3 linked regions of the Struthio camelus genome follow. The protein of the gene in region 2 purifies or fractionates together with the protein of the main gene of each other region. This does not show direct contact. Links are inferred from orthologs where the notes say so. Each region holds a gene or a part of one and is shown on either strand. Other genes may lie near its edges.

Region 1 (8,037 bases), on a different chromosome or scaffold from region 2:
AAAAACAAACAAACATTTCACATTTTGAACAGTTTAACTACTACAACACGAGCACCACAATGTCCACAGGCTTGGCAGAACAGAGACATTCATGACTAAATCTAACAGTTTGAATACTCAAGTCACTGATGCTGCTATGAAGTAATTCAGGTCTTATGGTCCTAAAAAGAGTAACCCCTGTCAAAACAAAAAATACAATTAAAAGGTCATTAGGAGAGAGACCAAAAGTATACAGAGAAAGGGACAAACTATTTTCCCCCAGAAAGATTGCTTAAGGAAGAGTGGCAGGTAGAAGCAATAAGAGCATAGTTAACAATTAAAGACTTATCTGTTGGGAGCTTCTCTCTAGACAGCCTCCAATCTCCCCTTTTTCTATGTTTTTCTTCTTCCCCATTTTGAGAGGGAAAGGTAAACTGACCAGAGTCTTGTCTGAGAATGTGCTGATCAATGCAGGCTGGGGGCAGATAGTAACTCAAGTTGCAACTAAAATGAGATACGTAGCAGACCGATTACAGAGTAAAGGGCAACGCATACCCTTAATCTATTTTACTGTTGGGAAGAACACAAAACACTAAACAGCTCAAATACTTAAAACCTCAGTAATCGAGGCACAGCAGCTACTTGAAAATACACCCTGCATATACGTTCCAGCATAGACATCATATTTTATGCCCTTCCTCTAAAAAAAAAAAAATCTCATTTGGCCCATTAAACAAAAAACGTAGCCTCTCCCCAAGTTGAGGGAATCACCTAGCACAGTAAGCACTCCTAACAGGAGGAAGCTCAAAAGCCACAGTACATTCACAAAGTAGATAAAGATGTACAGCATAATGCAACTGATGTCTCTGACATCACGTCATCCTCCATTGCAAATGCTCACAGGGAACATATCAGGTAAACAGTCATAACCTAACTGTATGGTCTTCAATTACATGTTCTCACAACACTACAGAAATTCATATCCCATTTCACTAGATTTCTGTGCACAAACACCCAACTAATAGTTGCTTTTGTTGCTGTCTTGTGATGCATGAGATTTCTGAATGAGTGGATGTTTATAGGTGTGCAGAGCTTTTCCTCCCCTTCAGATCAGCTACAACAAACTTAAGTTACAAAGTACTCTTGAAATATTGCTATTGTACACTGAAGACTTCATCTTGATTTATGCTTACTTTCAATTGCACTGAAGAGTGACTACAAATTCCAGCAGCAAGACTCTAGAAATGATACATTGCACAGTATGAAGTAACAGTAAATTACTAGGTCCAAACCAATCTGGGAGGGTGGTCATGCACCCAGGAAAAACATCCCTTTAAGATGACAAAGGGAAGTGGATTTCCCCAAATGAACTCACATGGAAAGCAGCAATAAGCACCATATGATACACCTTGGATAAGCAAACATAAGTTTGTGTAGCATAACTCAGAAGTTGTAAGAAAAAAAAAATCAGTATCAACAGGTTTATGCCATGCACTATACCTCTAAAAGAAAGAGGTGAAGATAACAGAACCAATTCTTATAACTTGCATATTTAGAATCTGAAGCTTCAGTTACACCAAGGAATACATGCATTATAAAAAAAGGCATTCTCTTGCCCACAAGCCTCTCAAAAAGCCCATTTCTGTAGAACTCATCTATTCACCTTTTATGTGTAGGGCACCCGAATTATAATTCTGTTTGATTCCTCTGACTTTAGTCAGGAAAAATCTGAAAGGGTTCCCTCCATTCAACAAATCCCAAGTATCCTGGGCTTCGCTGGGTGCTTCACAATGCTCCTCTGCCTTCTGATTCTCTGGGAGTTCATTATCTTTGTGAAAACTCAGAGGATGCTCTTTAGGTGCATAATCCTTCTCTTCTTTCACCGTTTCTTTGTGCCTTTGCTTTTCCTGATCTTCAGGCTCGTCATCACTACTAGAAAGACACCAGCCTAAACCTTCTTGGCTAGGTCTCTGTTTTTCTGCTGGACGTATTTCTGCAGAAAAGCTGTTCTCACTGAACCTCAGTGGAGAGGCTTTTCTCTTGTGAGCAGCTTTCCTAGCTTCAGAGCATGGATACTGTGGCCCACTTGTTCTGCCATGCACAGCAGGCAAGAACAAAGATGTAGATGGCTTCTCATTATCAGAGTTTTCTTCAGTACTTTCATCACTGCTAGATACTGTCCATTTTCCATGTGCTCCTTCCTGAAGCATGTTCCTGGGGGGATTGGGGGGGAGGAGAGACAAAAAACCCATGAAGCTGTACCATGTTTGCTGCGCTCAAGACCGTTTTTCCTTCCTAGCATCCATTCGCTCATCTCCACGACCTTTATGATTTTCTTAACTGACAGGATCTCTAGACTTCTGATTAGGATATATTTTATAGCATACAGAGCTTATTTGTTTTTGCACCCAGGAGATGGGGAAACACTCATAGCAGAAGCGACCATCAAAGAAGAAGCAGCTAGCACACAAACTTGCACACACACACAAAAGTAGCTAGAAGGGGAGCACGCGTAGAAAATAAGAGGAACGACTTTCATCACAGATAGTTCTCCTGCCAAACCCAACCATCAGGTCTAGCACACTATCCTAGAGAGACACAGGGGCAGAACCGAAACACAGGCGTAACAGATTATTAGTGCTCCACCCACAGCGAGAAACGAAAGCTACTCCACCGAAAACAAGACTGTGGGCAAGCGAGCTCCATTTATAAACGAAACTGCTCCACAGCCTGCAATAAGACAGCCGGTTCCGGCCCCAGGGCCCCCCGTCCAGCTGCCCCTGCGGGACCAGCCTGCCCCCGCCGCCCCGCGCCCGCCGCCGGGGCCCTCAGCCGCGCCGACAGTCCCGGCCACCCCCCGGGGCCGCCGAAGCGGCGCGAGGCCGCAGCACGCGGCGCCCCAACGGCCGCGGCGCCCTAAGCCGGCTCACCTCGCTGGAGCCGCCGGCCAACGTGCCGCGGGCAGCCTGCGCCCGCCCCTTCCGTTCCGGAGAACGGCAGCTTCCCCCAAGCCCTAGCGCCCGCGCGGCGCCAAGCCAATAAGAGGCGGCAGCGGCCGGGCTCCACCCCCTCTGCTCTGCCCCGCCCCCCAGTCAATGGCGCGCTTCGGGTCTCCGCCAATAGACGGCGGCGGCGGCGGCGCGCGGGTTGCTAGGCAGCGTGCGGGGCCCGCTGCCGCGGGCGGGCCGGCCGGCCGGCCCCCGCCAGGGGCGCGCTACGCGCGGGTGCGTGACGGGCCTCGCGGGGCAGGGGCGAGCGGCGGCGGCGGGGGCCGGGCCGGGCCCCTTCTGGCCTCCCCCCCGGCGGCCGCGGGTCCCTGCGCTGCGGAGCGGGGCCGCCGTTGGCTTCCGCACCGCTCTGTCGGCGGCTGCGTTGGCTCGGCGCCCGGGGGGTGCCCGCCGCCGCCTCCGGGCCCTGAGGGGAGTTCCGTCCTCCGTCCCGTCGGTGCCCGGTGACTCCCGAAGAGCTTTTTCGTCCCTCCAGAGGGGCAGCGGGTATCTAGAGGTGTTAAGGCGGCTCTGGCGCCCTGTTACGGCTGCTGCCGCGGCGAAACTATCGCGTCCTGGGGATGGGAATTAATCTAGTAACTCTTCATTGGGCGTTAGTGTTAGTTTAGGGCAGGTGTAGTATTTGCGTAATCGTTCATTCAGCTCAGTGTTAATTACTGTGCCTGAAGCGCCCGGCTGTTGAGATAACTGCATGACAAGCTAAAGAAGGGAGTGGGAGGAAAACAGGTGTACAATTAATCACAGTGAGAGCGCGGACTACATCACAGCTGGCTCTAGCTAACAAAGTGAACTGTCAGAGCATTTGATTCTCATTTTTCTAATTTATTACCAGCTTGTGACTGCAGTTAACAAATAATGCAAGTGTCTTGTATCAGAGTGTAATAAAATCAGCAAACTGCACCTAGCAACGCCTTAATGAAACTTCCACTTGTTCGTGTAATTTCCTTAGTACTCTTCTGCAGAATTCCAACATAATATTGCATGTAATGCTTCTTCCTGAAACAACTTACGGATATGCTCTTCAATGCTACAACATAAATGTGAAAACATGTAACGACTTATCAGTGCTTGCTAAAGCTCTTTTGAGGGGAAAGCCTCTTATGAGAATTAGGTATTTCTGTATTTCTATATTATATGCTTAATCTCTTATCTAGGCATATAGTGTGGAAAGTGTATTTTCTTCTAAAAATAGTTGAGAAAATTTGCCAGCTTTTGACTATGCCAGCTTTCCAGTCTCTCCATCTCATAGTTCCTGCTTGTAGAGTGGCTTTAGTGAGAACTAAATATGCTTGACATGTCTCAAGAAAAAAATCAAGATCTGGTAGAAACAAAATTTAGTGTCATTTGGTGTCTACAATTCTGTACCAGATATGCTGCTACAGAATATGTATGCAATTCTTTGTTAAGTGCATAAAACACAGAAATAGAATAAATTTTATTGTAACTTACCAAAAATTTAAAATTAAATAGACTAATCATAGTAGTTTCAGCTGGTGTAAGACAAGGTTTCTGACTGAAATAGGACTAATCTTCTGTAGCTTGTTTTGTAAATATCTTTTATTTTTCCCTTAACTGTTATGCTAAGTAAAAATTTGTATTTCAGATCAGATTTATTGTTTTTTAATGTAAATATTTTTTTCTGTAGGTTTTTGAAGCATGTGATGAAGATAACAAAGGCTATTTAAGCAGAGAGGACTTTAAAATTGCCGTAGCAATGCTGTTTGGTTATAAACCCTCAAAAGTATGTATTTCTATCATTTATATTCTGAAGATTCAGGATATGTCAATGACTCAGTGAGGACACTCTTTACAGACTGGTCTGTACTGATTGGAGCCGACTACACTAGCTTTGTGAAACCAAAATACTTCCAGATTCTTAAAGAAATTTTGTTATCTGAGAGCATTTATTTCGAAAGAAAATAATCAAATCACTACCTTTCCCACTGAGGAGTTATTGCTCTAGACTGTGATTAGCAGATGGATGTACTGCGCTATATACGTGTACAAGATGCATGAAATAATTGCTATACTGAGCTTATTGTAAAGCTGGAGATGAGATCCAAATTATTGTTTCTTACTAGTGATGCACTGCATTTACTTACTGTGTGGTACTATTTGGCAAGAAACTACTGCATGTCATAATAACAAACACATATTCTTAACAAGAGATATGCTTTTAACAAGAGATTTTGCTTTTAAGTGAAAGTTGGGCTTTTTAAGTCATGACAATATAAGTCAATAGCTGTATGAAGATATTAAGAAAAGAAAGGTTTATTGGAAGAAACCATGTGTTGCGTACTTACAGGAAGATAAAGGATAAATCGTGTGGCTTAATGCACCTCTATAAACTATGTCCCTACTGTAGCTGTGCAAGTGATCTCAAAAAGAGCATAAAGAACACATCAGTTAAAGTGAAAAAACACTTTTACTAAAGTGTAAAAATAGTCATCTCTGATGTATTTCAGCTGTGGGTAAACATTTTCCAAATGAGTTAGGGCCAGATCTAAAAATAACTTAGGCTTCTAAATTGAGTCTTAACTGCTGAATTCTGAACATGAAAAAATGCTCAGCTTCCCCTTACCCTAAATGCTGCACAGAATGGCAGACCTCATCCTAAACTGCACCCTAAATACAGGCAAGCCTTGCTTTTGATATTAATATGCCTTTATTAATGCTTGGTTCCTGGGCAGTCTTTCAACTATATTAGTCTATCTGGCTTATACCTGTGTGTAGTCAGTATATGAGAATTAGCTTGTTCTTCTGTTTAAATTTTCAAAATGTTTCTTCCAGTAGGAGTACTCAAACCATGGTTACGGCATTCAAACAAGGACTGGTTCTGTGTGTAAGTCATTGATGTTTCTTGCTTGGGAAGAGAATAAAGGTGAAGGACTCCCAGGAGACAAGAGGATTCAAGTGTAGATATTTCTTCCTGAAAAAGTGGCAAGTCACTCTTGCTGTCTCTCAAGGCAGGGCTCTGACCATCTGGCTGTAGACCATTCTGTCTGTGCAGCTACACAAAGTTAATTAATGATATTTGTTCCAGGAGCGATTCTGTGGTCCTGTCGTTTTTGCTAGCTCCTTAAGTGGTCCCAGTTCCAGGAACTGTTTACTTTCTCCAATTTTTCACTCATTGTGAAATACTGAGAGAGCACTGAATTGACAGACGCTTTTCTCTGTAGCTTTTACTAATGTGTATTAATTGTGGGGTATGGCACATCCACATCCTTTGTATTTCATTGTTGGCTAGGCCTTGCAAGTGTTCTCTTCAGCAGTTTGGTGGTTTTAATCCAGTTCTGAGAAACATAGCTTTCTCACCAGATAGGAGCCAAGCACAGGACTTAAACTGTGATTTGTAGTATCCAGGTCTTGAGTATTTTAATGTCAATTTTGCTTTGTTGTCAAAACAACTAAAATCAAAAAGACTACAGTAACAGCACTTGTATTTCCTCAGAATTCACTAAAACCAGTCCTGACACAGTACTTTCAAGAGCTTTTCCAAGAAATAGGAAATGGTGTGTATATGTTACTACTTCAGTTGCGGCAAAATTGTTTCCTAAACCATTGTACACGCTAAAATAAATTTTTTAGTAGAAATGGCAGTTGTTTAGCATCACCTGCACTTTTAGTAAATTGGTAAATAGCTAATGTGTCATTTTTATAGCTCAGGTTTCTGTTTGTTCTTTAAATAAAAAGTAATACTAACTTTTCCCACAAGATGTCACCAAAAACCTCTTTACTGGAGGAAATGCAAATTACAAATTTGAATCACATTCCTACTGCACTTGCTTTTTCCAAATCATTTGATGAAGTATAACAACATTTTATTTTCGTTTTTTATAAAATACTATTTTCATATGGCTATTCTTAGTGGTTCGGAACTTGCTACTGTTTAAAATTAAACCTTCTGAGACAGGTAACTAGGAAAGCATGAAAATGGAAAGATAAACCTGAATTTTGGACTGATATTGAAAGTAAATCTAATACATTTATCAGCATATACAAGTCATAATTTCTGGAAACTAGCAGCATTGTGGGGATCGTGTCAGTGGGAGATCTTTTTATTTTTTCTTCTAAAAGTTTGATTCAATGGTCCCCTTTGCACCCAAATTATTTAAACTGATCTAAAATGCTCTCTGATATATCAACAACCATTCAGCTCGCTAAATGCACATTTGGATCCTAGGTGTTTCAAACAAAAAGGGTACTGCAGGAATAGTAGTTTAAGGTAGTAAAATCTGTTGGCTGTAAACTGTATTACAAATACCTCGAAACTCATCTCATTCACATGTTTTCCTGTCATTGTCCCAGCCAAAGTCTCACTCTGAATACTCAGTGCAACCTTTAGATCTAAATAAAAGCATTGTCTACAATGTGCTTAGAAAGATACACTGTGCCAGGCTACAAAGCATGTCCGGTGTTTTCCCTGACCTGGCTCCGTATGTTCACGTTAGGACACTGGTAGCTCGGCATCTGCTGCTGAACAAGATGCCAGCGGCTTGGCATCCAGAATACAGAAGGGCAGTCTGAGCTCAGGGCTGCTTATAAATTCCAGCTGCTCTTTTGGCATTCTTACTAAAGATGTTTGAAAAGGACTCCCTAGACCATTTATCTGCCCAATACAGTCTATGTGAAAAGTGTTGCAGGCCAAATGCAATGTGTGGTGTAAGGCTATCTGGCCACAGCGTGTTTGACTGATCCGTTCTCCAGAAAAGGGTATGCTTAGATTTGTGCTAAGAGCTGCTAACATGTCATCTCCTTGCATGTTGGTTGTCTCGGCACTACAAGTATGCGCGGTCTTGTATTCTAAGAGCGTAGATGTGAGAGTCTGGTCTCAGGATCATGTACTCAGTCATGCTAAAAAGCGGTATAGCTATAGCCATAGGTGGACCTCTGTGCTTTCTTGGACATACACTCCCATTCTGTTTAATAAATTGGTTAAAGACCTTTTCCAGTAATCTCTTGGTTAGCCACTAATTCAGTTCTGAAAACGTCAGTGGTGTTTTCCTCACCTCATTTAGCTTTTTTTCCTTTGTACGAAAATGTTAGTGAA
Region 2 (7,533 bases):
TGTTTTTTTCTGCAATGCCCAGTCTCTTGAAAGTAACTCAGACAGATAGCAAAAAAGTCTAAAGAAGAAAAGTTGGGAGGGAAACCTGTTGAACAAATGGTGTTTTGTTCTCTAGCCTCTGCAATGTAGCTCTGAACATCCCAGAGTAACCATACATTGTTTTCTATGGACAAACTAATAGCTGTCATTTTCTTAGCTAGCATTTTTAGTTACCAAGGCAGAGCAGAACCATGCCCAGCATGTTATACTATCTCACAAGTCACAGAAAAAATTAGATTGGAATGTACCTCCAAAGGTCTCCAGTCCAAACTCCTGCTCAAAGAAGGGCTAACTTCAAAGTTGATGAAGATGCTCAGGGCCTTACATAGTATAGCATAACTGTGTGAGTTAACTGCATCAAAAAAGAAACCTTTACGTTTTTGGTACAGAATGATTGTTTTACTAAGTGCCACTAAGTATTTTTCTGACCTCAGGTGGGCCAGCAGCCTTTTAGCAGAAAAGAACCCATGGTATCTTTCAGCGAACCAGCAAAGCACTCAAAATAAGCAATCATAAAGCAATTAGGTCCATTAGCAGTGGAGTTAAGGCTAGTTCAGGCTAGTTCTGTACGTTAATATTCCTCATACCAGTAGCTTTTCTATGCAGCTCCTCACCATGTCCTCATCACCTCTTTTCATAACATTCTCCAATACCCCTCCATATTCTCATCTTTTTGGCTGTGTGTGTGGCAGCATGCGCTCTGGCTGGTTCAGAGCTACATGTCTGCCGACTGGCCAGTCAGTGCCCGCCTGCTGACTGGCTTGCTGCTTCTCAGGACAAGGTGCTGAGGAACAACCATTCTCCCTTCCATGAACATTTAGATATTTTTTATAAAAGTACTTCAGTTAAAACTAAACCATTTTTTATAAATTAAAAAAAAAAAGGTTAGTCAAATTAAAACACCTCTGATGCTAATATTAAAAGAGAAGCAAAGTATTTCCCAGAATCAATTTATTAACCCCTACCTGTGAAGCCAGAGAACTTCTTTGGTGATGGATTGACAGTACTTAGTGGATCTTTCTTGGGACTGGTTATTTGTCCAGTGGCAGAGAGCTTAGCTTGGACTGTTGCTTTTTTCTTCGGTGTACTTGCAGCCTTGGAAGTAGCTTCTGTAAACAGCAAAGTAAGGGTTCAAACTGGCAGTCAGAGATAATCTGCAACATCCCCCAGCATATAACATAAGCTATTTTGCAACACGCAAGTCTTAAAACAACTAGAGGTTGAGGAAGAAAAAATGAAGGAACATTTTTCGAATAGCAGAAGTTAAAAGGTTACAGAATTTGCTAAAGTTCATGGAAAAAGATGAAAATGGAAAACAGCTGCTGTTTCTTGGTGGGATTTATCTGAACTTTAAGCGTCTACATATGACTTAAATCACCGAGACCTTCTGCATAATCAGTTGCAAGAAATGAATTAAGAAGTGACTACTTCTTTGTCTTTACTATAGGGCTGAGACATAGATTTGATCACTCCCCACCTTTTTATCAAGTCATACTAATGCGTTAGTGAGGATTTCATGGGAAATGCATGATGATCAGTGGCATACCTTGTGGCCCAAAAAAAGCAGCCCACGTCCCTCCTTGTGTCTCACCTGAGATGTGCTTGTTGATTAATTCTTTCTCATCATCTTGTAGCTCTTCCCAACCTTCCAAATCTGTGATGTCTTCAATTTTCTTGGTGGTAGCCCGGGCCTTCTCTAGCTTCTCAAACATGCACTTCACATGGTACCACTCCTTCATATCCCCACCAGACTCCGTGAAAGGGTTGGGAACGATCTTCCCGATACGCACCATCCCCTTCACAATCTTCTCCTTGCACTTCTTGCAGCCTGCTGTGCCACGCTTGGCATAGTCCACGCAGTACCTCTGCTCTGCCATGTCCTCTGCAGCTGTGCAGGCCTGGCGAGGCTGAGCATGCAAAGATGGGGGCAAACGGAGACCTCCAGCACCACCACCCACGCACCAGAGAGAGCTGGTCCTTGCCAGCAGCTGGCACCAGAAGCTGGGGCTGGCTCTGGGGAGGTCAACGCAGCAAATGAGGGGTCCTGGCAAGAAGGCCCGTGCGTGTGGGAGGCAGAGAGCTGTGACCCTGCCGAGTGCCCAGGCAGCCTGTGCGAGTGTCCTAGTGCCTGTGGGCATCCAGCCTGCTCCAAGCTGGGCTGCAAGCAAGGGAAGAGACACTGAGCCACCACCCACTGGCCTACAGGCCAAAGGGGGCCTGTGCCTCGCGCCTGGCCTGCGGGATGTGGGGCTGGGGCAAGGTCTCACATAGATCCTGACACCTCCCCATCCTGGGCCTGCTCCACAGCCAACTCTCCCCTTGGGCCCTGACGCCTCCAAGGGCCCCACTATGCCAGAGCCTGCCCCACAAGTGCTCCTCCGTGGGCCCCAGCCTGCCCAGACCTATTCCACAGCCCCTTCCCCCCAGGCTCCCAACCCCTCACACCTGCCCCACAGCCCCTTCCCCCCCCCCAGGCTCCAATCCCCCCCCACACCTGCCCCACAACCCCTTCCCCCCCACAAGGCTCCAACCCCCCCACACCTGCCCCACAGCCCCTTCCCCCCGCCAGGCTCCAATCCCCCCCACACCTGCCCCACAGCACCTTCTCCCCCCCCCCCGAGCCTGCCTCAAGGCCCCGTCCCCGTCCCCGTCCCCATCCCCGTCCCCCGCCACAGGCCCAGCTCCTTCCCCGGCTGCTCCCAGGGCGACCCCGGAGGTGAAGGCCTCACCCGGCTCCTCACAGCGCCGCCATTTCGCCCTCCCTCAGGCCGGCGCCCCCCTCTCGCTCCCCTCCCCCCCCTTCTTTAGGCGAAAGCCGCCGCCACCGCGGTCCCTTTAAACTCGGCCCTCCGGGCTTCCGTAGAGCATGACGCAGGCGCCCTATTCTGCCCATGCGCTCTATTCCCGTGTGTAGCGCGCGGTGCCGGCCACAAGCCCCGCCCCCGCGGCGCTAGTCACGCCCCCAGGCGGAGCGACCCCTCCCGCTGGGCGCCCCGGCCCCGCCCCCGCGGGGCGCCCCTCCCCCCGCCGCCACGCGCACGGACAGCGGGCGAAGGCGCGGCGCGGCCTGTGGCGGCGCGAGGCGCTGCCCTGCCCCGGCCCCCGAGGCCCGCTGCGCCCCGTCTGTGCCGGCCCGCAGGCGCTGCTCTGCCCCCGGCCGCCCGAAATCCGCCCTCCGAGGGCGCCACGTCGTGTTCGCGCAGGGCCTCCTCCGGGCCCCGAAGATGGCGCTCCCAGGGCGCTGCGCCACGTCTGCGCCGGCCCCGAGGCGCTGCCCTCCTCTCGGCCGCCGAAATCCGCCCTCCGAGGGTGCTGCGCCAGCTCTGTCTCCGGCCGCCCGAAATCCGCCCTCCGAGGGCGCCATGTTGTGTTTGCGCCGCGCCTGAGGTGCTGCTCTACCCCCGGCCCCCGAAGATGGCGCCTCGCCTCGTCTCTGCCAGCCCTGAGGTGCTGCTCTACTCCCGGCCGCCAGAATCAGCCCCGGAGGGCGCTAGGCTATCTTTGTGCCAGCGCTGAGGTACTGCTGTATCCCCGGCCTCCCCAAATCAGCCCTCCAAGAGCACCATGCCATCTTTGCGTGGGGCCTGAGGCGCTGCTGTATCGCTCAGCCTCCCAAAATCAGCTCTCCAAGAGTGCTGTGCCGTGTTTGTGAAGGGCCTGAGGTACTGCCATATCACCCGGCCTTCCCAGAGCAGCCCTGTAAGTGCATTGGGCTGTGTCTGTGCAGTTCCTGAGGCGCTGCTGAATCACCCTGGCACCATGAAGATGGCCCTGCGTCCCAGCGCAGATGGGTGTTTGCCTGCAGTTAGGCTGCCAACTCTCTGGTGGTGGCAGCTGTCGCTGTTTCTCCTTATGCCGTGGTGAGAGTTCTGTCATGCTGTGCCGGGAGGCTGCTGAGGAGGCCGGTGTGGATACTGTATGCACCTCCGACTGGATACCTGCCTTCCTGCAGAAAAAGGGCACTGTGCGGGTTGTTGTGGCCTGACTTGCTTTGCCTGTAACGAAGTACGTCTGGGGCTGAGTATGACACGTAGGGTGCAGGATTTGCTTCACCAGGCACATATGCCAGTCCTTTTGCTGCCCTCCAACTAGTTGCAAAGCTGACTGCAGGCAGTCTCCCTCATTTTCTCAGCACACTAGTTGTCAGCTATAGCAATCATGCTATTTTCAGCTGTGGATGACTGAAATGACTGTGTTCTCCTTAGACAATTCAGGTCACAAAGCTAGGATGAAGTTCATGAGATAAGCATTTATCTGATCAACAGGATCTGACTGCAGAGCAGTCGGTCTTCCTCTTGTCCTCATTTAGGGTCTGTCTTCAGGGAATGGTGCAGTACTATCCTCTTGGACAGTGTATTCAATCATTGGTATTGGAATAGAAACATACCTTCCTCTCCCTCACAGTCCAGAGGTCATGAGAACCCTGAAACGAAAGAAGCAAGCTCCTACAACCAAACTGAAGTGGAGCTTTGAGCCCCAGGAAGGGAGTTGTAAAAGGATTCAGAGAATTTACTAAGGACTTCACAACAGCTGTTAGAAGATGCCCAGAATGCACTGTGCTTATGTTTGGTCACCCTAAACGAAGAGTTATGTATGCGTTCAGTACCTAGAGCATGCATTTGGCAGACTTGGAGTAAAGGTATGTGTGCAAGTTTAATCCAGTTAAATTTTTAAAATTGTAATAGATCAGGTTGCTTTACCAAAAAATGTACTTTGGGAAGTGGCTTACAGAACCAACAGCAACTGGTGCCAGTTTGCCCAGCAGTGGCCTCTTTGTAGGGGAAGGAAAAAAACAATCCAACCCAGGAAGAAATGGGGTGGGTACACTGTTCAGAGAGAGCTGGCAGGGAACGCCGGCTAGCGCACTGCATTCACAGCATCCTCTTTGGTGAGAGCTCTCATTCACTATGTTTGAGCCTAGTAAAAGAAATGGAGAGGAAAAATGGACTCAAGGGCTGACACTGAGAGTCACTCACTGCAGTGTACCGTAATCTGATTTAAATAAGGCAGCTGCTGAGCGATCTCTCACCAGTAGGATTCACTTTCCTAATTTCTAAAAGTTAGCAATGTGGTCTAAGCTAGGCTCTGTGTATAATCAATAGAGGAGCCTGCAGAGGCTTGACTTAGGGTGAGATGAATTGCCCTCTGGCTCTTCTCCGGCTGGAGGGGGTTTAGAAAGCGGTTTGGACAGGTAAGTGAATAGGTAAGTGATAGGAAAGTTTTGACTAGCGGGGGCCAGAAGGCCCTTGCGTATGGTCACTGCTCTTAAGTTTTCAACATGTGCAGTTTCTTCCCCTGAAGTTACGATGAGCATTCATTGTTCTTCTGAGTGCAAAAAATATGTTTACAAGCGGAGGAAGTAAAATTGTTTGGAGTTTTACAGTCTTATTGGAATGAAATCCTCTAACTCCCACTTTTGCCAAGATGTACCTTCAAGTAGCTATGAATAGAGCAATATATCCAGTGTGTGTCTTTCCACAAAACTGCAGGACATTGAGTTCACAGAAAGCACAGAGAAAATGAGGAAACAAATTGCTGCAGTTTCTCAAAGGATCAGTGAAGGATCACTTGCTGGTCTCTCTTGAGAGTTAATACTGGAATTGGTACTACTGGAATAGTTAATAGTGAGATGAGCCTCTTATGAACATAATGCTGTCTTTGTATGTGAGTCATCAATGACAGACTACTAGAGAGGGCCCCTGGAAAATACAACATTGTTATTACTAGTTTATTCCATTAATACAGAGAAGATAATGCTGATAAGTCAGATTTAAAGGACTGAGTCTGTTCATCCTTAAGCAAAGTGGCCGTCAGTTCTGTTTGAGTTTGAAAAATATGTGAAAGCAAAATGATGGTCTCAAGTTTTATATTTTTTCCTCGTTGTTAAGAAGAAAAAACAATTTTAGGTGCTTCATCTTAAACTGGTGTTGAAAATATTTCATAAAAAAAAGCTCACCTTCTTCAGATCTTCTGGAGATACCTTTAAACTGATGTGTTTTTGGACTGAAATTAAAGCCTTGATGCAAGACTTCTTTCGAATTTACATTCCAATGAATCCAGTCTTCTTGGTATTAAGAAAATGTCCAGAATCTCACTAACATCAAATAAAAGGAGGAAGATGTTTAGAATTTTAATAACTGCAGTGAACAAATGTGTCTCTTTGTATAGCTGCTAAAGAAGATACTGAACTTGGACGTGTGGTTTATTAAAATAAAAGAGATAAGAGAGATGGAGATTATAGAAAAAAGGCATATATACATGAAATACATTTGAAAAAAAGGGAAGTGATGTCAGATAAATAACAGATCAAGAAGCCATGTAAGGAATCTCAGTAGTACTTATTTGCATATATACTTCTTGGCAAGACTTACTTTGCTAGGGCTTTGAAAGGAAAAGCTACTATTGAGTGGTACATGGTAATTCAGTCTGAAATGGTTTGCAATGCCTTTGGTTTGAGAGGATTTCTGGATTCTAAATGTGTGAAAAGTTTCTATTTGAATGACTTTTGATTTCTTTTTATGGTCAGCTTCACATGAATGAAATTTCTCACCTACTAGTCAAGTACCTCAGTGCCTGCACAACACTTGAAGTGTAGAAGTTGGGTGTAGCTGGAGTAAAATCACTTACAAACCTCTTTGTGGTCCTCACTTGGGTGACGTGGGGGAGAATATAATCTGTTACCAACTCACAAATCAGTTTGTATTTCTTCTTCTTCTTCTTCTTCTTCTTCTTTTTTTTTTTTTTTTAAATTATGGACTCTAAAGGCATTTCCTGGAACCAGAAGTGTGACTAAATATGATCTAAGATGTAACAAAAAATATTGGCTCTAAAAAGAATAACTGTTCCCCTCTGTAGGACGTGTTATCAGGTGTATGTATAGTAGCCCACCCCTCCTTTTCCTCCATGATAGCACTGTCCAGGATGCTGCATGTGATTCAGTGCATACAACCACATGCAGCCACATAACTTCTCAGCATCCTTGTTGCCATCGCAGTGACATGCCAGCCTAGGGCTGTGACAAAAAGATGAAGAACATGGTATTATCCTGAAATTGGTATATACAGCCCTCTGCAGAGGAGACAGTTTTGGAATGTGAACTCTGTCCTTTAATCAAAACACAGCAAAAGTCTGTCTGTCCTCCTTATCACATCCCAGCTGTCTTTCTGAGGGAAAATCTTGACATTTGGTGCATGGAAATTGTGAATATCTTGAGTACAGAGAAACAAATGTGAAATTTGTCATTTCTAGTACAGGTTACCCAAAGATTCACGGAAGAGCCACAAAAAATATGTCAGAGATTTCCAAAGGTGTTTAGGAGACACTGATGCCCACTTGCTGTTAATACTAATGAGAAGTGAGTATCCAAATCACTTGGATGGGTTTTGGAAAGTCTCAGCTAGATTCATTTCTTCTTGGAGAAAATTATATTTGACAGGAAGTTTCTGATGCAGAGAGTATAAGGGCATTGGAGTGCACTCCAGTTCGTTGTATTTT
Region 3 (7,308 bases), on a different chromosome or scaffold from region 2:
AGGACAAGGCACGCTGGCCATGCTGAGGTTCACCAGCGTTTTGGTCCCTGGAGCTCTTTCAGGATTTTCTTAGAAGAAAACAGTTCTATTCACCATTCCCACTGTCCAGCAAGAGGATGTTCACATGAGACCATGGTGCTTCATTTTTAGATAAGGACTTGCAGGTGGTGTGATCGCTGGTGCCAAGTGTGAGCTGCCTACAGCTGCCTCGGTTACAATTAGCCATGTCAGTTCATCCTGCGGCCAAGGGGTACGTGCAGCACAGCATAGCCTTGTGCCTACTCAGGTTAACTGTTGCGTGGATCGCTACGCTTCTTGATGTAGAGTAGCATTCCAATTAGGATTCCTACACTCCACCCCTTGATGCACATACAGTTGACTCTTTCAAAAGATACTGTAAATTGCAGGTTACACCAGTAACCTTTTGACTACTAGAAAGATTCTTACAAAGTGTTTACTGCAGTTAATAATGAAAGGGCAGTGAGAAGTGAAACAAACACTGGGTGAGAGAATAGGTGTAGAAGAGCAGTGTCACTGGAGCTAAAACTACCGCAGATTTCCAGCCACTGGGCAGGAGCTGCATTAGCTATTTGCCTGGCAGTCTGGATAAAGAGTTGATTCTGATGTAGCGCTTGTAGTTCTATGACATTGTCCTGCTTTTCAGTTTTTAATCAGTTGATTGAATGATATTTAAGGTCAATGCCATCCAATAAAGGCTCTCCAGGGTTGCCAGTTCCCCTTCAAATGTTGACATTATTTACCATGACTCATGACAAGCTGTCAGCTGTATACAAGGAGGCAGAGGTATTTTTGGCAGGAAATACTTTGCCTATGGAACCTGTGGTCTGATTTATTAGTGCACTTACCTGCTATAACTGACTGCACAGGACTTGAGATCTAGAGTTAAGGGTTTTACTGCTTAATCGTAACTTCATCTGGAACAGTGCTTTTAGGTAGGCTTTGGTTGGATTTGGGTAGGGTTTTCCACCCCTTGAATTGGGTTGACCTTTTGTAATGGGTCCAGTGTGGTCAATATGATGACTATCCAGCAATATCTCAAACCCCCTGAGTTTGGTACCTGGCCCTACAGATGGCCATCTCTCAGCTCAATCTCAGCGACTGAGTGTTCACTGATAAGGCTGTGCCGCAGCAAGGTCTGCTCTTGCCTCACAGGTGTTCTTGAAAGGGTGAGTCAGTCCCCAAATAGGCTGTTCTAATCAGCAAGTGGTACACTGTATGTAACCACATAGATTTAGGCAATACTTTACACAATTAGCATAAACAACATTACAATTGGATGTGTTTTCCTGTGTGGCAGCCCTGCAGTCTTAAAGGCACTATTCCAACATTTTTTTTCTTATAGGTAAAATAGGCTTGTGATGGTATTCAGTTATTCATCACCTTGGTAATTAATTTGATTATTCATAACCTTGGATGATTAATAACAAAGATTAATAATTATCTTTGTTCCACAGGCTGGAATATTTTCCTTCGTAGGAGCTTCAGATATAATCGGTCACAACCCTTTTTTCCTTTTTGCTTTCCTCCATCTCTCCTGTCTTACTGATAATAAACAGACAGCTTCACACTTACAGATCCAGGGATGTTAGGCATAATTTTACTATCCTTTCTTTCTTTTCCTTTTAAGGGAAGGTGTTGACAGATTATTTCAGATCATATCGGGTTAACTTTTAGAAACACTAGAATACAGCTGTTAAGCTTGGTTACCAGGCAGATATGAGTACTCTCTAATACGTTTCTATGCCATCTTCCTTTAATATTACTTCTACTCTGGTTCCTAGGTTCATTCCATTACTTACACACTTGGTTTAAAAAAAACCCCACACATTGCTGAAATGAACAATTTTATCTTTAGGTCTGGCTGTTTCTGTTCAAGTTGTTCTTCAATGGATGACCTTATAAAACAAAACAAAAAGACCTACCAAGGCCATCAGGCTATTACAGTTTGGCTTTAACTGTAACTACTGAAACCATTTCTCTTAAGATTATTTACATCCATCTATTACTTAAGTTTGAACTGTCTCTTTATATTCATTTTTCTTTATGATCAGAATTTTTTAGTACATATTGAAGCATTTTCCAGCCGCTTCTGGTTTCTTGTAATGGTGCTGGCAGTCAAAGATGCTGGCTCTTTGTATTATAGGCCTCTTCTTGTTCTGCAAATGTGTTTCTAGGGCTCTTATCTGTTTCTCACATTCTTGTGATTAGCCTCTGCAGCAGGACGGCAGGCATCAGCTATCATTTCTCCAATAGCTTTGACTTCCAACCTTCAAACATTTAACCCTTCCGTCTCTGTTCACTGTTCCTGCAAGTGAGCAGAGGCTTTATCACTTCATTTTCTTTCTGCGCTCACCCTGTGAGTGATAGGTGTTATTTTCTTTGATCGGGTAACAAAGTTAAGATTTGTACCTTTTTCCTCCCAAAGGTATGGTTTTCAACCAAACGGGGTAGTTTTGATATCTTGCCCCATCATACAGGCTGATTTTTCCTTTCAAGTGAGGAAATCCTTTTGCAATTTATGTAACTGTTTTTCCAGCTTCCAGGGAACAAGAGTATACAGGCTTTGGTGTTAGCCTGTTTTCCTGGCCCTTTGCCTACTCTATGACCAGTACAGTTTGCTGGTTAAGTTGTTGGCGTGTTCCTGAATATACTCCTTCAGTGATAACACTGTGGGTACATTTGCAAAAGGATAAATCCCCATCTCCTCACACAGAGCTGTGTCCTTGAGGATTTGGGAATGCTCACAGCTGAGTCGACATAGAGCAGCTGAGCAGCAAGGACTTCAGGAGCCAGGCAAATCCAGCTCCCCCCCCCCGCCCCCCCAGCTGCTGCTCCCTTTTTGTTTTTTTGTGAACCCTTGGTCAGCTTCAAGCTAGTTTATAATTTGGCCAAGGGTTGGACCCTGGCCGTGATGCGAGGTTTAAGTGTAGTGGTTAAGTTTATGTGCATGCTGTATCTCTGGTGAGGCCCCCTCCTCGCACGAAAGACCCCAGCCATCTAGCGGAGCTGTGCAGTTGCTTCCCCGTAGCGTTTACAGGCACGCAAGATCCCTGGTGAAGTCCCCACAGACCCCAGCCAGAGACCCCAACCGGCCAGCTGATACCTGCGCTGGCTGCCCTGAAGCCTAATGACTACCAGCGTTACAAGTGCAGCTCGCTGACACTTGCACAGGTTCTCCTGCTGGAGGGCCCCCCCCTTAATGGGACGAGAGCTTCTGCCCTGTTGGATTATTTGACACGCTCTCATGGTAGCCATTGCGCTAGTCTCTCCACTGCTTTTTTTGCCACTAAGTTTCCACAATGGCCTGCAGTTGTCCTGGATGCTGGCGGCCCCTTTGCTTTGATCGCAGCTGATGGTCCCACGCCAAGCGGGACACCACACTTTGCCTGGAACCTGTTGCTTACCATCAACTCACTGCCTACCCTGCCCTGGATGGCAGGGCCAGCAGCGTGCTCCTTCCCACCGCTGGGATACCCGCACTGGTTTTTCCCGTATCTTACCAATCCTTTGCAACTCCTCTATCTTGTCAAAACATTCCCACTGCCATTTCATGTGTATCGGAACAAGCGCCTACAATGCAAATCCTGATTTTTTCCTTTCCTCTTTTTTTTTTTTTAATTTTTCCTTCCCCAACCGTTGCTTTTGAGTTGATATTCCAGCTGAGGTGGGACATCCAGATAACGTCCCCCAGATCGCCGGGGAAGGTCCCTGGGCCCGGTCCCCCTTCGGGCTGCGCTGCGGGGCTCTCCTTTGCCCCAACCGGGCCTGCTCGCATCGCGCTCCGGCCGCCTGCAGCCGGCGCTGGCCAGACCTCGGTACGGCCGCCTGCCCGCGCCCGTTTTTAAGGATAATACGAGGTTTAATCGGAATATTTAGCCAAAGAGCGGCAACTAAGGCACGCGCGTCCTCGCGCAGGGGCGCGCACGGCGCCCGCCGCTCCCGCCGCCGCGCTCGGCCGCCCCGCAGCAGCGCCCTGCGGCGCCCCCTGGCGGCCGGTCCGGTCGCCGCAGCCCCGCCGGCACACAGCCTTGCCCACTGCGCCTGCGCCGTACCGCACCACGCTGCGCCTGCGCCTCGCCGCGCCGCCCCAGCCCGCGCTGGCTTAGCGCGCCTGCGCGCCGCGCCTCCCCAGCCCGCGCTGGCTCAGCGCGCCTGCGCACGCCCCTCCTTCCGGTCACGGGGCACGCTGATAGCGCCGCCGCGCTGGCGCCAGAGGGCGGCTTGAGGTCACGTGAGCCGCGAGGCGGGAGCTGATTGGCTGGGCGTGCCGCGTTGCGCTGCCGGCGGTGCGGTACGGGGCGTGGCGCGGCGCGGTGCGGCGCGCGGTAAGGGGCGCGGGCCGGCGTTGCCATGGGGACGCGGCCTGGCCTGGCCCGGCCTAGGCCCGGCGGGGCCCGCGGTGGCGACGGCGGCGCGTAGGCCGGACGGCGGGCCGCGAGGCTTTGCCTTGACTTTCCGAAAAGCGATCCCGGTTAGCAGGAGTGTCTCGGGACGGCAGGCTGGTCGGAGGCCCTGCCGGACGCCCCTCGCCCCGGCGGCAGCCAGCCTGCTGGGCAGCCGCCGGTCACTAACGTGCTGTTTATCTCGCTCCCTAGGGCGGTGATGCACGTGTGCTGGCTGGTGGCCAGAGAGCAATGCCGTCCGCGAATCAGGCTGCCCCACTTGGGAGCGGTGGTGGTTGGACGTGGCCCCGAGACTGGAATAACAGATAAGAAGTGTTCCCGGCAGCAAGGTAAGACTGAGCACGAGTCCTGCTTTCCCAGTCTGGTAGTTGTCAAGCATGTGAAAAGACAAGTGCAGCACTCACGATAGGGTCATGCAGATCGATAAACCTCATTTTTTTGCTCAGCTAAATGGCAGTGAAGCCACGGAAACACTTTTTTGGCCTTACTTGTAAGCCTGCTCTGTGCAGTGTTGAAATGGAGTTGGTAGTTCTTCCTTGAAATCTGAGTGGGGTTCCTGTAGGCTTATTCCTGCATCCATTGGCTGTTGATCTCTTGTCTCAGTATGATACACAGAGCTGCATGATTCCTAAAGCCACTGAGTTTCTTACAAGCACTTAGGAAGACCTCTGGGTTCTGACAAATCTGAAGAAACATGGCCTTCTTACTGAAACAAAGATAAGAAGTTGATCTTTGTAAACTAACGTATCGAGCCCTAACGTGAGTCCCCAGGTCCATAGTCCTGTTCAATTGCCCTTGCTCTCACTTGGCAAGTGGTGCTAGTCCTGCCCTGACTTCCACCAACTGATTTATAATGGGATTTCATAAACTGGAATTTCATAAACGCATTGGGAGAAATCACATCTTGATCTGTAAAATGCCCCCTGCTTTCCACCTTCCCCGCCTTATACTTCCATTCTGGACACAGCCCTTTTCCCTGCCATATTGTGACAGAGCGCTGATGGGAATAGCAAGAACTTGTAAAATTTTTCAATAGAGTTCCCCTTTATTCTGATGCAATTTTTGCTGATCCATATGAAATATGCAGGTGTGACTCAGTCGTATGGGCTAGTCCCATATTACCAGTGATCCTGGAAACACTGAGACAACATGGCAAAAGTCTTCTTCTAAAAGTACTCATAAAATCTTCCTCAGAAGGTAACACAAGCTTAAAATGCAGGCCTGTTCTCTGCCTTTCAGGCCTTCTTATTTACATAGTTTTATGATGCTTTTTCTTTCTTTTTTTTTTTCCAGTACAATTAAAAGCAGATTGTAATGAGGGTTATGTCACAGTCAAACAGGTATGTTTTCAAATGGATGTACAATATTTCTGATACTTACTGAGGTGGTCGTTACCCTTACACTCCACAAATGCTGCAAGTGATGGTTCTGATCACACAGCCTGAACGGCCTCAAGCTGTTCTGTGATCAAGGTGAGCATGCCAGGTAGTCCTCAGAAGGGCTCTCTTTCATCTGTGTACCTCAGTGCAAAGGCTGCGGTGCTCCTTCTAGACATACTTGCGTCTCAGAGAGCCAGAGCTGCAGCATTAGGGAACACTGCCTTGAATACTCAGGCTTTTCTTCCTCCAGGGAGTATGTTTTGGAGACTTCAATGTGCTTGCCCTAATCAAGAGGTTAACTTACTGACTTTCCTCCTAAGCCTTGCGTTTCTAAAGCTGAGGCAGCCCTTCATTTAAGGTCAGAATGGTTCTTACTGCACTGATGAGACTAGGCTCTATTAGACATCAAAACAAAAACCTTTGAGAACTGTCAAAATTGTGGTCACCTCTAGGGAGCGAAGGGGTTTGAAACAGCACTGAAGGCATTCTAAAGTTATTAATTGGGAGGACTCAGGCCTACGCTCTCGTGTTGTGGTCCTCATACATATCTGAGGTGTCAGGAAGGGAAAATTCTCTGGCTTCGAGTGCTGAGGCGTGTATGTGTGCCCACAGCATCAGCATCCAGGCAGACCACGCATCTGTCTACTGATGAATAACGTCTTCCATCAAAATGTCCCAAGAGCTCAGCAAGTACTTGGCCCCGCTGGTTTCGGATGAATTCTACAAGAAACTCTTAGATACGATTTCACAGAAATCAGCCTTAACAGCCGTTTGAATATGATGTTACTGGAATCTTAGGCCAGGGAGTACCCCCTGGTGGTGGCAGTTAGCACGTTTTCTAGAGCTGCTTCCCGTGTTTGGTGTGTGGCACACAGTGTTCCAGTGATCAGCTGTTAAATAACATATTGATCACGGGGAATGGAAATGTACTTAGTGTGAGTGAAACTTTACCGGTTATAGACCGAAAAGATCATGGCTGGAATCTGGGATTTGTCACAGGCAGTATCAGCTGATGAGATGCACAGTACCATCTGGTGAAACATGCAGGTACTGCAGTGACAAAGCTGAAGAAAGACTTTGTGTCAGAGTCCGTCAGTCACAAGCATCATCTGGCTTCCTACAGTGTGTACCATGTATAAACATTAACCAAAAGCATTTTGCTGAAGCCGGAGACTCCATACTTCCATAGGGTCGCTCTCATGACCAAAATGTATCTGCTTAAGCAGGCACTGCAGGTGTCATACTTACACATGCTGGGGTGGGCAGGGAGCTTTAGCCTCTCTTGAAAGAAACAAAGTATTGTCACCAGCTCTGTTTAAACATAGTCTTATGTGGGCTGGGGAAGAGTTATCAGATATGAATTGAAAAAGAAGAAAAGACGAGCGTGAATCTGATCTCTGGTTTCTTCAGAGTGGACTCCTCTAGGGGACCTCTCTAGACTGTTTTTGTCCAGTGTCCCCTTCCCCCCCCTCTCCCCCCCCCCCCCCCCCAGTGCAAGAGGAAGT

Evidence for each region.
Region 1: the proteins of LIG3 (region 2) and TDP1 purify together in Homo sapiens (affinity purification with mass spectrometry; 4 studies listed by BioGRID and IntAct, with this or other methods). This does not show direct contact. The link is inferred for Struthio camelus from reciprocal best matches to the Homo sapiens genes LIG3 and TDP1.
Region 3: the proteins of LIG3 (region 2) and APTX purify together in Homo sapiens (affinity purification with mass spectrometry; 3 studies listed by BioGRID and IntAct, with this or other methods). This does not show direct contact. The link is inferred for Struthio camelus from reciprocal best matches to the Homo sapiens genes LIG3 and APTX.

Annotation. Positions count from the first base shown.
Region 1 is NC_090946.1:64,624,937-64,632,973, reverse strand, and holds the start of TDP1 (tyrosyl-DNA phosphodiesterase 1), read right to left. Parts: upstream 3,020-8,037; 5' UTR 2,910-3,019; intron 2,194-2,909; 5' UTR 2,190-2,193; coding exon 1,643-2,189; intron 1-1,642. Other genes in the region: EFCAB11 (EF-hand calcium-binding domain-containing protein 11), read left to right, coding at 4,702-4,728. UniProt on the Homo sapiens protein: DNA repair enzyme that can remove a variety of covalent adducts from DNA through hydrolysis of a 3'-phosphodiester bond, giving rise to DNA with a free 3' phosphate.
Region 2 is NC_090957.1:14,942,445-14,949,977, forward strand, and holds the start of LIG3 (DNA ligase 3), read right to left. Parts: upstream 3,010-7,533; 5' UTR 2,769-3,009; intron 2,198-2,768; 5' UTR 2,178-2,197; coding exon 1,631-2,177; intron 1,149-1,630; coding exon 1,005-1,148; intron 1-1,004. Other genes in the region: PHD finger protein 7-like, read left to right, coding at 4,633-4,678. UniProt on the Homo sapiens protein: Isoform 3 functions as a heterodimer with DNA-repair protein XRCC1 in the nucleus and can correct defective DNA strand-break repair and sister chromatid exchange following treatment with ionizing radiation and alkylating agents.
Region 3 is NC_090982.1:10,368,322-10,375,629, forward strand, and holds the start of APTX (aprataxin), read left to right. Parts: upstream 1-4,232; 5' UTR 4,233-4,346; exon of another isoform or gene 4,347-4,492; intron 4,493-4,616; 5' UTR 4,617-4,623; coding exon 4,624-4,753; intron 4,754-5,717; coding exon 5,718-5,764; intron 5,765-7,308. UniProt on the Homo sapiens protein: DNA-binding protein involved in single-strand DNA break repair, double-strand DNA break repair and base excision repair.